Linked DNA regions of Oryctolagus cuniculus. The protein of the gene in region 1 binds, or shares a complex with, the protein of each later gene. Links are inferred from orthologs where the notes say so. Each region holds a gene or a part of one and is shown on either strand. Other genes may lie near its edges. The genes, in order: MCCC1 and MCCC2.

The links.
Region 2: the proteins of MCCC1 (region 1) and MCCC2 are in contact, whole or in part, in a cryo-EM structure (PDB 8JXM), measured with the Homo sapiens proteins. The link is inferred for Oryctolagus cuniculus from reciprocal best matches to the Homo sapiens genes MCCC1 and MCCC2. Residues at the interface, in NP_064551.3 of Homo sapiens: Glu519, Phe526, His531, Asp532, Phe534, Ser535, Pro536, Phe537, Ser538, Ser539, Ser540, Ser541, Gly542, Arg543, Arg544, Leu545, Asn546, Ile547, Tyr549, Thr550, Arg551, Tyr568, Tyr636, Leu637, Ser641, Glu644; in NP_071415.1 of Homo sapiens: Leu56, His57, Val60, Glu61, Lys64, Asp88, Ile91, Pro93, Gly94, Ser95, Pro96, Phe97, Leu98, Glu99, Gln102, Ile123, Gly124, Arg125, Gly128, Glu130, Arg234, Trp276, Leu278, His281, His282, His285, Lys298, Lys299, Leu300, Ile304.

The regions. Positions count from the first base shown.
Region 1 is NC_091435.1:96,603,165-96,611,356, forward strand, and holds part of MCCC1 (methylcrotonoyl-CoA carboxylase subunit alpha, mitochondrial), read left to right. Parts: intron 1-2,390; coding exon 2,391-2,528; intron 2,529-4,045; coding exon 4,046-4,153; intron 4,154-6,063; coding exon 6,064-6,135; intron 6,136-6,905; coding exon 6,906-7,034; 3' UTR 7,035-8,192.
Region 2 is NC_091445.1:39,381,870-39,390,960, reverse strand, and holds part of MCCC2 (methylcrotonoyl-CoA carboxylase beta chain, mitochondrial), read left to right. Parts: intron 1-2,084; coding exon 2,085-2,212; intron 2,213-3,646; coding exon 3,647-3,759; intron 3,760-9,091. UniProt on the Homo sapiens protein: Carboxyltransferase subunit of the 3-methylcrotonyl-CoA carboxylase, an enzyme that catalyzes the conversion of 3-methylcrotonyl-CoA to 3-methylglutaconyl-CoA, a critical step for leucine and isovaleric acid catabolism.

The DNA.
Region 1 (8,192 bases):
GCTGGTTTACTCCTCAGTTGGTTGCAACGGCCAGAGCTGCGCTGACCCGAAGCCAGGAGCCAGGAGCTTCTTCCGGGTCTCCCTTGCCGGTACAGGGGCCCAAGGATCTGGGCCACCTAAACTGAGAAAATTTTAAAACTTAAGATTATACAAGTGCCCTTTCCATTAGCCATCAGAGCAATAACACTGTCACATGTTCAGTAGCTTCTGGAAAAGTCCACAGTGTGTGTACTCAAGCTAGAATGAGGGTAAACAAAGCAAATAACATTTTTGCCCTGTTATGAAAATAGTTGATTTCATGTGCCCTCTAAAAGAGGGTTGAGGGATGGGTGTTGAGCAGCTTGGAATGTCCATATCCCATATCAACGTGCCTGGGACTGAGTCCCAACTCCACTTCCAATCCAGCTTCATGCTAATGCAGCTGGGAGGCAGCAGATGGTGTCCAAATACTTGGATCCCTGCTACACACATAGACCTTGATGGAGTTCTGGGATCCTGGCGTTGGTCTGGCCTAGCCTCTACTGTTGTGCACATTTGGGATGTGACCCTGCATATGAAAGATCGATTCTCTCTCCCTGTCTCTCCTTCTCCCCCTTCCTCTCTCACTTACTTTGCTTTTAAATGAATAAATAAATAAAACATTTTTTTAAAAGGGTATGGGGGTCCGCAAGGGATCTACAGGTCACACTTTGAGAACCTCTATTGAAAAATGTATGATTGTCCTCCATAGAAAGAGGTCCATTACCCTGGCATAACAAAATGCTAAAAGGTTAAAAATAATGTGGGAATTCAAACAAATTCCTGCAGGAAGGTACAAATTCAGGGAATAAAATGCATGATTAATATGATCTTGGATATTTTGAATCCTGCAAAATGGATGTATTGGCGACACACAGTAGATCTCCAAACACTTTGAACACTTTCCTCTCTGTAAGGGGCAGGAAAGCCATGGGGAGCCTGCCTACTTTAGTGTGTGAGGGTTCTGACTCACACTGGTGCCTCTGGCTTGGGGACCTTTCATGTCCCTTGGTGACTGGTAAAATAAATTGCTGATTTGTTCCAATTTGCTCGGGGAACCAACAAATTTAGAATGCTTTTGTAAATCTTTAAACAAAAGTGTTCCCAATCTAACCTTTACATCCTAAGAATTTCACAAACATTCAGATGACTGTTTTAGTTGGTTAAAAAGCAGGGTGAAATATCATATATAACTTAAGGTAGAAGAAAACTGTGGATAAATACTGCAATGTGACCTCTTTCACCTTACCCTACATTACATGTTGGAAAAGAATAACCACAGGACTTCTACACTAACATCATGGGAATTGAAGTGAAAAATACAGAGAGAAGATTTAAATGGATTTCTGTGTGTAAAGGAAATTTTCCCTGGAGTATTACATGGGAGAAAATACACTTTAAAACAGAAAGGTTTCACTTCGTTTTGTCAGCTTCCATGAAGCATTGAGTGTGAACTCTGTTTTCACATGTGGTCTCTTTGTGAAAATTATTAAGGTCTATCTTCAGCTAATTGATCTTTTTGAATGTCACTGATATCCATGAATTGGACCTATGTGTTGGTTAGATAAAAGAAGTACCATCTGTGGGGGCTGCTGTTGCAGTGCAGTGTGTTAAGCCACTACCTGCCACTCCAGCAACCTGTATGGGTGCTGGTTTGAGTCCCGGCTGCTCCACTTCCAACCCAGTGCCCTGCTAATGGCCTGGGAAAGCAATGGAAGATAGCCCAAGTACATGGGCTCCTGCCATCCATGTGGGAGACCCAAATGGAATTCTGGGTTCCTGGCTTGTGGCAATTTGGGGAGTGAACCAGTGGATGGAAGCTCTCTTTCTCTGTCCCTCTCCCTCTCCCTCTCCCATCCTCCTTACCTCCCTCCCTCCCTCTCATTCTCTGTAACTCTGACTTTCAAAAAAAAATAAATAAATCTTTGAAAAAAATTCATAAGAAATACCATACAATTATGTAGTTCTGGTTCTTTTTTTATTACTGACTTCGGCATAGGAAAATTAAATTTGATTTTGCACACTCAGAAATGAGTACTAACATTAAAGTTACTGAAATGAATCAATAATTTTTCTTACCTTGATTTGTATTTTTACTTAACATTTTTATTGCTCTTATTTCTAAAATGAACCTTTATCTGTAGCATTGTAGTGACATGGATATGCTATATAACTGATGTATTTCCTTTTAATTATTGCTGTTTTATCTAAAGCATTTTGGTTAGGAATCTGAGGAAAGTTCTCCATGGTTTTTAAAAATAGTTTTGATGTACTACCTGTTGAAATTACCAATAGCAAATAATTGATTCTGATTTTATTAATTCTGGGGGGTCATTATTGATTTTGAAGATATTTTTCTGTTTGTTTTTCAGATTGAAGACCAAACCTTCCAAGTCCTTGGTGATCTTTCTAGTGAGGGAGATTGCACTTACCTGAAGTGTTCTGTTAATGGAGTTACTCATAAAGCCAAGCTCATTATCCTGGAAAACACTATCTACCTATTTTCCATGGTAACGTCTTTTCTTTGTGTGTGTGTGTGTGTGTTTTTTTTTTTTTAATTTTATTTATGTATTTGAAAGGCAGAGTTACAGAGAAAGAGGGAGGGAAGGAGGGAGGTCTTCCATTCACTGGTTCACTCCCCAGATGGCCACAACAGCTGGAGCTGGGTTGATCCAAAGCCAGGAGCTTCTTCCAGGTCTCCCACGTGGGTGCAGGGGCTGAAGCACTTGGACCATCTTCTGCTGCTTTCCCAGGTGCATCAGAGGGAGCTGGATTGGGAGTGGGAAGTGGACTTGAACTGGAGTGCCAGCACTGCAGGCAGTGGTTTTAACCACTATGCCACAGCGCCAGCCCCTCGTCTTTTCTTTATATCTTGGGGTTTAGGAGAAAGGTGCTTGACAGAGGCATTTCCCCAAGTGAGTTCAGAAAGGCACTGCTCCCTTCCACCACTGCCGTGGCTCCTCCTCCATTTCTTTGCCATATTCCTGCCCTCCCTAGCTCTCCGTTCACTCCTGTGGTCACGCAGATTCTCTCTGGTAGACACATAACCATTTTCTTCCTTGGATTCTGAAACAAGTGCCTGCAGCACCCTCGTCAGGGAGCACCTCCTGGCTCAGTGGGCTGTGTTCTCTCGGGGCTTGGTTGCCTGAACACCACCTTCCACCTGGCTCTTGGAGTCCTGTTGATTTTACAGGAGGCGACCGCTGGGACCAGATGTGCCTCTTGACAGAGGGAAGGTGGCTGGGTTCCTGGTGGTCTCTAGGCAGTCAAAGGACAGTCAGGGCTGGCTTCCATGGATTGGGTTAGGAGCCACCCACACAACGAGTCTGTCACACTCTGCCCTGCAGAACGAACTCTCAATTACACTGTGGCCCCCTGGGGGACTGTCACCTTGTGGGACCACCTTGCAGGGCAGAGTGCTTTGTGATGATGTCTTCAGTTTGCTGGCAGTTTTGGAGTCTGGGGTGCTCTCACTTGCCCAGGCATTCCTTTCCATTGTCAGTGACACTGTAGCAGTAGGATGGTGGAGGCAGTGCAAGGTGAGGAGCCTGAGTTCTGGAAGGTAGAGCTGCTGTGATTCAAATCCTGGCCCTGCCGCTTAGCCTGAGTGGCCTTGGGCAGTTAGACACTCTGTGCTTCAAGTTTCCCATCTGTAAATCAGAATGATAACAGTACCTACCTCGTGGACTTGTGTGATGGTTAATGACATAATTAATGAAACATTAAGAACAGTTCCTGGCGTTGACTGCGTAGACCCAGCACGTGATGGTGAGGATGCTGCTAAATGGCTTCTGGACAGTGACTTCATTTTGTTAACCACCTGGCTGGCATGCACGCCACTGCTTCATAATGGCAAAGCCAGATTGAGAATAATTGTACTTCCCTCAAAGTCACAGAAGGTAGACTAGAATGCTGATCTTCTGATGGCTAATGTTTAACAAGTAGCGTGACAGTAATCATTTCAAGTATATGAGAAAAATATAGTGATAGGAACTAGTTTCCATGTTCTGTTTTTTTCTGTTTACAGGAGGGGAGTATCAAGTTTGACATTCCAGTACCCAAATACCTGTCTTCGCTGAGCTCCGAAGGGACTCAGGGAGCTACTGTAGCTCCTATGACGGGAACCATTGAGAAGGTAATCATGCGACATTTGTTAAAATGATGTCCAATAAAGCCTAATACATGCCTTTGTTGAACTTTGTCCATTTTAAGAAAGCAAGAGGATTTGTTCTAGATTGCAATTCCATATTATATAATTTTCAGTGAAAAAACTCCTTTACCTAGTTTATGATAAAGACCACTCTTTTTGAAGGTCAGAATTTGCATCAAAGTACAAAGAATCCAGTTTGTTCTCTTACATTTGGAATAGAGCATCCACCAAAGACTGTTTTGTCATGAAACAATAACTTTTTTCCAATATGCATAACTGCATGTGTGTTAAGATGACATTCGAAAAGCTGATGTTGCTGAAGAGCAGTGTGGTCTGGTGTTGAATGCAGTGTGCATCCAGAACTCACATCCATCCTGTCCGTGTCCCTTTGGGCTGCTCTAACAGAAGGCTGTAGACCAAGTCACTCATAAGCAGAAACGTATTACCACTCCGGAGGCTGGGAAAGCAAGCTCCGGACACCAGCAGAGTCACCGTCTAATGAGATCTGGCTTCCTGGTGTCATAAACAGCGGTCTTTTCCCAGTGTTCTCATAAGTTGGTAGGGGCAAGGGATCTCTTTCAGGCCTCTTTCAGAAGGTCACGAATCCTGTTCCTGAGGGCTGCCTCGCCAAGGCCCCACCTCCAATTATCATCCCCTTGGGGGTTAGAATTTCAGGGTGTGAATTTTGGGGGGACACATTCAGACCGTGCATAGCACCTGTAGTGTAACCCCAGTGGTGATGGATCAGTAATCTCCTCTTACACCTTGAATGCACTTAAATCACAGAAATGCATTTGTATCTTCTTGATGCAAAAAAAAAGTAGCAGAAGGAAAAAGAGATAGTGATTGTGTAAGTAGTAGAGGAGGAAGGGGAGGAGGAAGCAGACGAAGTGATAATAATTATGTAAGTATGCATGATTTCACCCACTGTTCCCCTCTTGAAGAATTTACCTCCGAGCAGACTTGGATTCGCTTTAGTTCACTCAGTCTTAGTTTCCACAGACCTCTGTATAGTGTGGGCACCTCTGCACGGAGTGCTCATCTTGTGGATAGAGATGCACAGTTTTCCCGTTACTGGCCCCCTAAAGTCAGGTCACTCATTTCATCAGCGTGTGCTAAAGCACCCTGGGAGTGGGGCATTTGCAGGGCTCTCGGGGGTGCTTCCCACTTCTTACGCTCATCAGTCCTCACTGACCTGAACCTAACTCTCCTGCGAAACGTTTCCAAAAACTCTCTGGTAACCACATTAACCGAAAAGATAGGGAGACCTTATGGGACATGCAAATTCATTTACGGCTGTAAAAAGGAAAACAAATTCTTTTTCAGCTTGCTAATAAGTTTAATTCTCCTACATGAAAATTGTCTACACACATACTACACAGGACTCAAGACTTCAGACAGTAGCCTGGACACCCCTCAAACCAGAAAGCCAGTCGTGACCTCCCTCTGCCCTGTCTGCTGAAGACATTTAAGTACACCAGGAACATCAGAAAGTTCATGGGAAAAAATAGAATTAAAAATATGCTTATTTTGATGCAAAAAAACCCTTTGAGAGCCACACTTCTCTTTTTCATTGATACACATTTTTTTCATTAACTTTTTGAAGATAACAATAGGATCCCTGCTAGTGATGTTCTTGTTTGTACACCCATGAAAACAACAAAAGGATACCAAGATAGATAAAATGTATCCACACCTAATTGAAGCAAAACTTGATGACCTGAGGTGGGCGCGGGGTTCTAAGCCGTGCTGCATTGAGCTGGTGGTGGCTGCTTCACACCCATGCAGACAGCATAGTCACACAGACTCCTGCTTCTGCTCCACTTCCATGCCAGCAATGTGGACCACCAAGGCGTCTGTGTTTTTAGATAGTAACCCATCCTCTGAATCTCTAGGTGTTTGTGAAAGCCGGGGACAGAGTGAAAGCTGGAGATTCTCTAGTGGTTATGATCGCCATGAAGATGGAGGTGAGCGAAATCACACGTTCTGTTGGCAAGGGAACCTTGGGAACCTCAAGCCTGATGTTCTTTTGCATTCGTTTGTAAGTTAATGCCATTTTAAATATGAAGAGTCATGGATCAATGAAGCGTTAATTTCAGGAAACAAAACCCAGTGTTCCTTCTCATAAATATATTTTCATCTTAATTTTGGGAAAGCACACCTGTCATTTCTGATTATGAAATTGTTGATAGCTTAGAAGCAGGAAGTAGCCCAACTAGATGCTTTCTCTGTTTGTGTTTTCTAAGGCTGAACCCTGAGGATTCCAAGTGTCGTTTTCAAAGTGAAAAGCCTCAATCAAATTGAATTAGCTATGGAGGCTTTTAGGTCTGTGGTCATCAACCCTTGGCCAAAATTCCGGTCACCTGGGAAACTTTTATAAGCTACTTCCGCAGCCAAGGAATCTCCAAGGCTAGGGCCTGGGGACCAGTACTGTTTGAAAGCATCCCAGGTGATATTCTCATGTGAAGCTGGGTTTGGGACCTACTCGCCAGACCAGAGCTTCCTCATCATCTCCTGTCTGGGTTCCCAGGATTGATTCCTGCAACCCTCAAACATACCACAACAGTGTCACCATTTTTTCTGTCAACATCATGTGATGTTTAAACAATAATAATAAAAGGTTGGGCAGGGCAGAAAGACTAGGAATCAGCAAAACAGTTGGCTACATATTTCCCCTTTTCTCTTTCAGTCCCATTAGTGTTTGCATCATTGTTTATTCTATCTTGTGTCTCTGCAGCACACCATAAAGGCGCCGAAGGATGGCACGATAAAGAAAGTGTTCTACAAAGAAGGCTCGCAGGCCAACAGACATGCTCCTTTGGTCGAGTTTGAGGAGGAGGAATCTGACAAAAGGGAATCAGAATAAACCCCATCAGAGAAAAATGGCCAATTACGTAGTATCTTATTCTCATACTGAAAAGAAAGTGCCTACTGCTTTTTCTTGGGTTCTTATAAAAGGCAGTTTTAACTAAATGATTTAACTACATGATTATGCCAAACCTCTCTTATTTAAGAATTGTGTACTTGAGGCCCAACACTGTGGTGCAGCAGGTAAAGCTGCTGCCTATGGTGCCAGCATTCTTTACGGGCGCCGATTCAAGTCCCGGATGTTCCTCTTTCAGTCCAGCTCCCTGCCAGTGCACCTGGGACAGCAGTGAAGGGTGGCCCAAGTCCCACATGGGAGACCTGGAGAAGGTTCCTGGCTCCAAATTCAGATCAACCCAGGACTGGCCATTGCAGCCATTTGGGGAGTGAGCCAGTGGATGGGGGCCCTCTCTCTGTCTCTCTCTGTATCTCTGCCTTTCAAATAAATAAATGAATCTTAGAAAGGAATCATGCACTGAGTCACAAATATAATTATCTCAGAATATTTCATACTAATAAAATTGAATTGTGCTTTTTTTTTTTACTGGCAATAGATATTGTTTCTGCCTCAGATTTTATAAAATGTAGCATTTTTAGGAAAGGGGATAGCAACTTGATGAAAAAAATTGGAAGAAAAAAGTTATTTAACTAAATGAATTATTTTCCAGTTACAATCATGATGAAAATGGACAGTAACATCCTTCAGACAGATGGCCACAGAGCAAAGCCCAACCAAGATTTTGTTTCATCAAAGAGTAACTTATTGGGCAGTTTAAAGACATGGCTGTTTGTTTCTACTTTTTGATTGGAAAATTTCTACCTAGACTGCTGCTACTTTCTAAGCTCATAAAAAAATATGTGTATGAGTTGTATGTATTATATACTAGAATATAGTATTAAGAATTAATTTGGATAAATTTTTAAAATATGCTGTTACAGAAAGCATGGGTAAAAGTAGAATGCCTGACTGCTGAATACTTCTTTATGAAAGCATTTTTTCGTTACCAAAAAGAAAAAAGCCCACTTTGGATTGTAGTTCTTCACCTTTGTGTAGATTCTGTTATTACTGACACTTATACAGCCCTCTGCATTTTCATGTATTCATTGCAGCATCAAATATTTGCTAAATTGTGCCTTCACTGAATGCATAAAACTATGT
Region 2 (9,091 bases), on another chromosome or scaffold:
CTGTGCCAGGAATTGAGAGGGTAGACAATAGAATATGTATTTTTTTTTTTTTTTTTACCTTGAAACAGGCTCCATGATAAATACTTTTTGTTTGTTTTGAAAGGCAGAGCTGCAGAAAGAGAGAGGGAGAGACAGAGAGGGGTCTTCCATCTGGTGGTTCACTCTCCAAATGACTGTAACGACTGGGGTTGGGCCAGACTGAAGTCAGGAGCTGGGAGTCTCTTCTGGGTCTCCCACGTGGGTGTGGAGCCCAAGCACTTTGTCCATTTTCTGTTCCTTTCCCAGGTGCATTAGCAGGAGCTAGGTTGGAAGCAGAGAAGCTGTGACATGAACCAGTGGCCATATAGGATGCCAGTGTCACAGGCAACAGCCCCAAATCCTTTTTATTTTTAAGATTACTCATTTATTTTAAAGACAGAGAGATAGAGAAAGAGATACAGAGATCTCCTATACGCTGGCTCATATCCAAATGCCTGCAACAGCTAGGGCTGGGCCTGGCTGGAGCCAGGGGCTGGGAGCTCCATCCAGTCTCCCACGTGGGTGTCAGATGCTGCTGCCTCCCAGGGTGCATAGCAGCAGTAAGCTGCAATCTGGGGCAGAGCTGGGATGCACTCCAACCCTGCAGTATTTTGACGTGGACGTCCTGAGCAGGTTTTAACAGCGAGGCCAAAGGCCTGCTCTTCAGCAAACATTTTTTGTTGCTTTCCACGTTCCTGGTTCTAGTTTAGGGGCACAATGGTGAATAAGAAGGACAAAATTTCGGAGTGGACATTTGCCACAAGGGTTATGACGCATAAATAGGAGAAGCACATTGCCCTCGCCTGGGAGCCCAGCTGCTTTTATCCACTTTATTTTCAACAAGGATTCAGGGCGTTACCTTTCAGAATTCTGGAGGTTATAAAATGAGATAATGAAAGCATCGTCAGTGTAAAGAAAATTGAATTTTGTGAAGAATTCAGATGTGTCCCAGATTTCCAGTGAGGAGCTGCTGGTTTTAGGGCTTCCTGGTGAGGCTGCACCGTTTCCCTCCCTGGCTGTCTTTGTCCCCTGCTCTGCTCTTTGTTACCCGTGGGTCCTCGTACCCAGCACACTGGTCTTGGTGAGAAGGAGCACTATTGAGGGCTCATTGTATCTGCGATATGTCTTCAGTGTGCTGTTTTACGGTTTGCATCCGCTGTGACTTCAAGCTAATTTAATGTTGTATTTTAGACGAATTTTAGTTTTATGGAAGAGCATAGACCCGTAATACTGAAGATCTTCTGAAAAATATAGTAAATAAATGCTGGAACTCCTGATGGGTCAGTGTTAATTTTTTTTTTTTTTTTTTTTTTTTGCAAATTTCCTTGCTTAAAGAGAACTCTGAAGGTTTTTTTTTTATTTATTTATTTTTTTGACAGGCAGAGTGGACAGTGAGAGAGAGAGACAGAGAGAGAAAGGTCTTCCTTTGCCGTTGGTTCACCCTCCAATGGCCGCCGCTGCAGCCGGCGCACCGCGCTGATCCGATGGCAGGAGCCAGGAGCCAGGTGCTTTTCCTGGTCTCCCATGGGGTGCAGGGCCCAAGCACCTGGGCCATCCTCCACTGCACTCCCTGGCCATAGCAGAGAGCTGGCCTGGAAGAGGGGCAACCGGGACAGAATCCGGCGCCCCAACCGGGACTAGAACCCGGTGTGCCGGCGCCGCAAGGTGGAGGATTAGCCTATTGAGCCACGGAGCCGGCTTTCTGAAGGTTTATTGTAAAGGAATTCCTCACCCCCAAGACTTGAGTTTTTAAGGTTTTGGGTATTAACATTGTTAGGGTCCTTTCATTCAAGGAACCATCATGAAATGAGCTTACGTTTGTAGTTTTTCAAGTGTGAGTTTGTACCCTCAATAAAGTAATCATTCGGTTTTATATGAATGACTGTGTCAGCCATGACCATTGTCAGGCTTGTTTTGTATCCTCAGACCGGCAGCTAATGGGTGTCACTGGTGAAATGCACAAGGTGTTGAGGCTTACACTGAGCGTCTTGTCATTCGCTACCATGGGCCTTTAATTTTGAAGAAATCACTCACATTCTCTTTCCGATGAAATTTCTGCCTTTCAGAGTAGAGTGCATGATCGTTGCCAATGACGCCACTGTTAAAGGAGGCACCTACTACCCGGTGACCGTGAAGAAACACCTGCGGGCCCAGGAGATTGCGCTGCAGAACAGGCTCCCCTGCATCTACCTGGGCAAGTGACAGGCACCGCACAGTAAGCTGTGGCCGGCTGGGAAAGTGCAAGCCTGTTTAGAAGGCTAGACCCTGACGCTACCAGTTGTTTAAAAAAAAAAAAAAAAAAAGCTATTGATTGATTTCTTCCACAATTATAAAGGAAACACATGTTCTTTCCTGAAAACTCCAGGGGAAATGAACTTCCAGGAATATCCCCTAGGAATATCTTGGTGTGTGCCGTTTTTTTTTTTTTTCTCTCCACACTGTGGATTTTTTCTTCTATATATTTTGTTGTTCTGTTACCCATAATGGGTCCAAACTATGAAAAAAATAGCTAATTTTTATGGATCTCTTTGAGTGCCTGGCACTGTGTTAAATGCTATATTATATAATTTGAGCAAATGTTATTTTAAGTAAATTTAATTTCTAGTGAATTGCTTTAAAATCAGGGGATATTCCAGAAAGAACCTAAAAGCAAAGCAGTTTAGAAAAATTGGCACCTCCTAGATATTGACTTAGTTTGATGAGATTCCAACATACATTGTTCATTTATGCTGGTACTCGAACACAGATACTGATGTAGAGATTTTTTAATCCTGGAAAGTGAATACCTGGTTTACTCACAATGTGAACTGTTTTTCGCATGTACAGAAAATAGCAAATGAAGCCCAGCTGCTTGTGGTCCTGGGCCAGATGCTGGAGGGGATGAGTGAAAGGCATGATGTTGTCTCTGTCTTCAGTGAGCTCATGATGACTTTGAGACAGGAGATGGGGTTAAATAACTATTAAAGACGCAGTGGTCATAGGCAGTAGTAGTAAATGTAGGACTAGCCAAATTTTAACATCTCCTGTGTGCACTCAGAGTGTGTGCCTCTGAATGAAGTGCTTTATATATGGTATTTCACTCCTCCTAGCAGCTCTGTGGGGTAGCTCCTATTGTTATCTTCATTTCACAGGGGAGAGACTGAGGCAAAGCATGGCAAGGAGACACCTGTAACCACACAGCTGTGCAGTAACAAGCTGTGTTTGAACACAGTACCCTAATCCACTGTTTCAGTCTGCGATCAGCGCAGTATCAGAAGGCCTTAAGTGATGAATCGTCCCCATGAATTCCGTGGATGGCTTTTGTATTGGCGTGGAAGAGGAAAAGAAAAATTTTCAGTTCAGTTGGTTAAGAATTTATATTCCTGGATTATCTGAGGACCTTAGCTGGTCTTCAAATGAGAGAATGTCCCAGACATCTCAGCTAGCATTTTGCACAGACGTAGGGAAGCCAGGTGGGTTTGGGACCAACAGTGAGTCCTTCGGGCTGTGCAGGGGGTTGGAGAAAGAGACTCCAGAGTGTGTCTAGAACGTGGCTGTGATCAGGAACCACTACTGTCCTTGAGGCAGGTCCCCTGGGAGAGTGTGTTTTGTTCACAGAGATGTGCTGACTTCTCCCATTTTCCTTCAGTCGATTCAGGAGGGGCAAACTTACCTCGACAAGCAGATACGTTTCCAGACCGAGATCACTTCGGCCGCATATTCTATAATCAGGCAATTATGTCGTCTAAAAATATTACACAGGTAATATCTCACTGGTGAGCTGTATTGCTTTTTTATTCCAAATGTCTCTGCCAATCATATACTCAGGGATGATTTAAAGATAAACTAGAATTTAGGCTTTTCCCACAGAAAGTATCTCAAGATGGTCTCCAGTTAGAACCTTCTGATGATCAATAGGTCTGCCCCTACACTGTAGTAAAGGTTATTTACCTAGGAAAACAGGTTTTGAAAAGAAAGGGCACTTCGTAGTTCCTTTTCTAGGTCTGTTCTGTGGGGAAGTTCTAGTGGATGCATGAAAAAATCTAGACAATAAAAGGTCACTGGGGGTTGGCATTGTGGTGCAGCAGGTTAAGCCACCGCTTATGACACCAGTGTCATATCAGAGTGCTGGTTCGAGTCCCAGCTACTCTGCTTCCAGTCCAGCTCCTTAATAATGTGCCTGGGAAGGCAGTAGTAGATGGCCTAAGTATTTGGGCCCCTGTCAGCCACGTAGGAGACCAGGATGGAACTCCTGACTAGCCTAGCCCTACCTGGGCTATTGCAGCCATTTGGGAAGTGAACTAGCAGATGGAAGATCAATTCCACCCCCTTCCCCCCTTTTTCTGTGTTGTTCTGTCTTCCGTTTGCAGTGCCAGCATCCCATATGGGAGCTGGTTCAAGTCCAGCTGCTCCTCTTCTGATTCAGCTCTCTGCTATGGCCTGGGAAAGCAGTGGATGATGGCCCAAGCATTTGGGACCCTGTACCCTTGTGGGAGACCAGTTAGAGGCTCCTGACTCTTGGCTTTAGATCAGCCCAGTTCTGGCCGTTGAGGCCATTTGGAGAGTGAACCATTGGATAGAAGATCTCTCTCCTCTCTCCCCTCTCTCTCCTCTCTCTCTCTGTCTCTCCCTCTTTCTGTAACTCTGCCTCTCAAGAAAATAAATAAATAAAAAAAATTTTTTTTTTTTTTGACAGGCAGAGTGGACAGTGAGAGAGAGACAGAGAGAAAGGTCTTCCTTTGCCGTTGGTTCACCCTCCAATGGCTGCCGTGGCCGGCGCGCTGCGGCCGGCGCACCGTGCTGATCCGAAGGCAGGAGCCAGGTACTTCTCCTGGTCTCCTATGGGGTGCAGGGCCCAACTACTTGGGCCATCCTCAACTGCACTCCCTGGCAGAGCAGAGAGCTGGCCTGGAAGAGGGGCAACTGGGACAGAATCCGGCGCCCCGACTGGGACTAGAACCCGGTGTGCCGGCGCCGCTAGGCGGAGGATTAGTCTATTGAGCTGTGGCACCGGCCTAAATAAAATCTTAAAAAAAAGAAAAGTTAAAGAGTAACCTAAATGTTGATTAATGTGAGATTAATAATTTTAGTTGTTGAATGTACTCAGATTGCAGCATCTATCAACATAAGTAAGTGTGAAAATATGTTGAATAGAAGCACAGTTGCCATGTCTGTAAAGGTTAATTATATCATATTGTACTGTATACTATATAAGTGTAAACAGGCACATGAGAACAATCCATTCAACTTTAAACAATGGCTTCCTGTAAGGTAGGATCAAGGAGAAAGGGATCAGGTGGTCAGATAGGAGGTCTGTAGGTTTGTAGGGCTTCAATTTATATATATATATATATACACATACATATATATATGTATATGTGTATATATACACACACATTTATACATTTATACATGTAATTATATATAAAAGATTTATTTATTTGAAAGATAGAGTCACAGAGAGAGAGAGAGATCTTCCATCTGCTGGTTCATTCCCCAGATGGCCACAAAAGCTGGGGCTGGCCCAGGTTGGCCCAGGAGCCAGAAACTTCCTCTGGATCTCCCACATGGGTGCAAGGGACCAAGCACTTGGGGCATCTTCTGCTGCTTTCCTGGGCCATTAATAGGGAGCTGGATTGGAAGTGGAGCAGCTAGGACTTGAACCGGTGCCCACATGGGATGCTGGTGCTGCAGGCAGCAGCTTAACTTTCTGTGCCACAACACTGGCCCCAGTTATATTTGAAATATTTTATTCCTTTAAGAAAAAAGATGTGAGATAAATTTGGCCAAATTTATTTATTTATGAAGACTGGGGATTAAGTGAATGGATATTTATTTTTTATCCTCCTACCTTTTTTCATGGTTGAACTACTTTGTAATACTTATGCTCTTCCTTTGTTTCCATTTCCTTGTTGGATTTCTTAAGTCCATATTTTTATTGATGTTCTAGTTAAATCTTTTGACGTTCTATCAGGGGAGTAGGTTGTATTTATTGTAAATTGTAGTGTTGGCAGTGACCTTGCTCACCTCTATGCTTTGTTTATCTAAATGAGAAACTTGAGCTTTGTTGACGCTGCACCTCTCTCCCTCTCACTGTCCTGAATGCAGTTGTTATTACCATCTTGTGTATCATAGGGGAAATCAGCACTTTTAATCTGGTATTACAGCATATCTGTCTTGCTTTGTGTTAGGTCCCTAGAGCTGCTGAAACAAATGACCATGAACTTAACCATGAACCAGGGGCTTAACCAAGATTCATTCCCTGAAGTTCTGGAGGGCAGAAGTTTGAAATGTGGGTGGCAATCTCTGCCTCTCTCTTCCCAGGCCTTTTCCTCTTTGGATGGGTGACTGTTCTTTCTTATAAGGATGCTTGTTATTGGATTTTTTTTTTTTTTTTTTTGACAGGCAGAGTGGACAGTGTGAGAGAGAGACAGAGAGAGAAAGGTCTTCCTTTTGCCGTTGGTTCACCCTCCAATGGCCGCTGCTGCAGCCGGCGCACCGCGCTGATCCGATGGCAGGAGCCAGGATCCAGGTGCTTTTCCTGGTCTCCCATGGGGTGCAGGGCCCAAGCACCTGGGCCATCCTCCACTGCACTCCCTGGCCATAGCAGAGAGCTGGCCTGGAAGAGGGGCAACCGGGACAGAATCCGGCGCCCCAACCGGGACTAGAACCCGGTGTGCCGGCGCCGCAAGGTGGAGGATTAGCCTATTGAGCCACGGCGCCGGCCAACTTGTTATTGGATTTAAGGTCCATTATTATCTTAATATAATCACACACACTCAGGCCCTTTTCCCAAGTAAGGTCACATCCACAGGTCCTGGGGATCAGGCCGTGGTCCCATCTTTTGGGGCTGTTGCTCAACCCACTGTAGACCTCTGTCATCTTGCATGTGTATAATTTGCTTTGTGTCATTGTTGTTCATGTAGCTTCTGTGGAGACTAAAGCATACTATTCTGCTACTATTTATGGAGGATCTGCTGTGAGCCAGCCCTGTGCTGGTAAATGAAGCCAGGCGGGGTCTTTTTCTGTGGAACTCAAAGCTTGAGGTGCTTTAGCATAAAGTCTTTTATGAAAAATGCACAGTTTTTTTGAATAAGCAAAACCTACCTATGATAAAAAATCTAAAATGACTAAAAGTCCTCTGATTGTCTTCTTTTTGCGCTTTTATTTTTGTTTTCTAAAACTTGTAACCCAGTGATTATTTCATTGAGCCACTTCTCTTTGCATTTATTTTTTCTCTTTTATTTAAGCAGGAATTTAGAACCCAAGGCTTCCTGGTTCCCAATTTTCCTGGCCCAGCCCTAGTTCTTCTGGCCATTTGAGGGGTGGATCAGTGGAAGGAAGATTTCTTTCTCTTTGTCTCTGTCTTTCTCTCCCTGTCACTCTGCCTTTTTAAAATAAAGACTTACAGAATTCGAATTACTTTTATACATTCCATGCAAATGTGACTCCACATATGTTGCATCATCACATTCATGTTGTGTGTTAAGTGGTACATATATGTGTGTAAAGATGCTGGCACTTTTCGGGAAGTTATGTCCTTTCTGTTCATCTGCCTTTGTGAAGTGTCTCAGCTCTTCAGGTGACTATATTCATATATATATATATATGCGCTGTGTGACCCCTGGGGAATTCTGATTGATCTTATCAAATGACTTTAGGTCACCTGTCACTGTTTCTCGGGTGACTCCAGTTACAAAGCTCACTGTAAACAGTTTCCAACCATAGGAATATGTGATTATACAGTTTCTACTTTTTGACTGATTGTGAGTATAGTTCATCTCTTTATAATTTTTATACCTGTGTGACTATCATTTGTGTACCTGAGTGTTTATGCTTGCAAAAGTATGTATATTTTTTTTAAAAGATTTATCTTATTTATTTGAAAGACAGCATTAATAGGAGAGGAAGAAAGAGATCTTCCATCGGTGGTTCACTCTCCAAATGACTGCAATGGCTGGGGCTGGGCCAGGCTGAAGTCTGGGTCTCCCACATAGGTGGCAGGGGCCCAAGCACCTGGGCCATTCTTTTCTGCTTTCCCAGATGCATTTACAAGGAGCTGATTGGAAGTGGGGCAGCCAGGACTTGAACTGACACTTATTTGGGATGCCAGTGTTATGCCACAAACCAGTCCCTATCATTGCATTTTTATTGTATAATGTGAGTCATTACCTGTTCTGCACATTTTTTTAATGTTTCTCAAATCCCCCTTTAAAAGCATGTATAAGTATCTTTTAAAGAACTTTTAAAGTGACTTTTTCTAGAATTATACTTTTGAGACTTTAATCTTCGGGGATTTCAACATTCAGGATTGTGGCATTAGGAATTGTGTCTTTGGGATTATGTCCCAGACGATGCCCACTGACCCAGAGGCCAGAGTCTCTCACTCTACCTCATGGTGTTGTCATTTGTTCCCTTTCCTGAAATTCTCCTTAAGTCATGCCTGTAGGGTTTCCCTGTTTTCCTTCTACTTTCTCCTTTTAATTTCTGCAATCTTTGTTGATGATTTTATAAACTGTCATGGCTTCCTTGCCTGTTCTCTCCCTGACCTCTCCTGGTCCTGCCCCCTCAATATCTCTGCTTGTAAACCTTGAGGCTTTGTGTCTCTGAACATTTCTTGCTAGTGTTTTAGTATGAGGTGGTATCTCTGATCTCTGACCTCAGTCCTTGGCCTAGAGCTCCTTAAAACATCAGTGATTTCCTAATGCATAGCGGGTGCCTGCAGCATCTGTTGTTCTAAAGTTTGGTCTTTGACTCTGGTTCCTGATACAGAGCCCCTAAATCCCTTGGAATGTCATGGGAGATGGGAGCATCCCTTATTCTGATGGGGTTACTCTTGGTGGGCTCCTTGAGGGCCTGGTTCCCAGGAAGGCCAAGCCATCATTATAAGGTTGGAGCTTTCAGCTCCACACTCCATTAGAACCACCATGGGGTTCCTCACCCAGCAAGAAGGATCTCTGGGCTTTGCTTCTGTCACCACTGGTGATGGGGTGGACTGTGGCCTCTCGATGGCGGTCTTTGGAGTTCACCTGTGTCCTGATATAAATGGGGATCCTGTGACGTCTCTCTCGGCACATATCTGCATTCCACACTA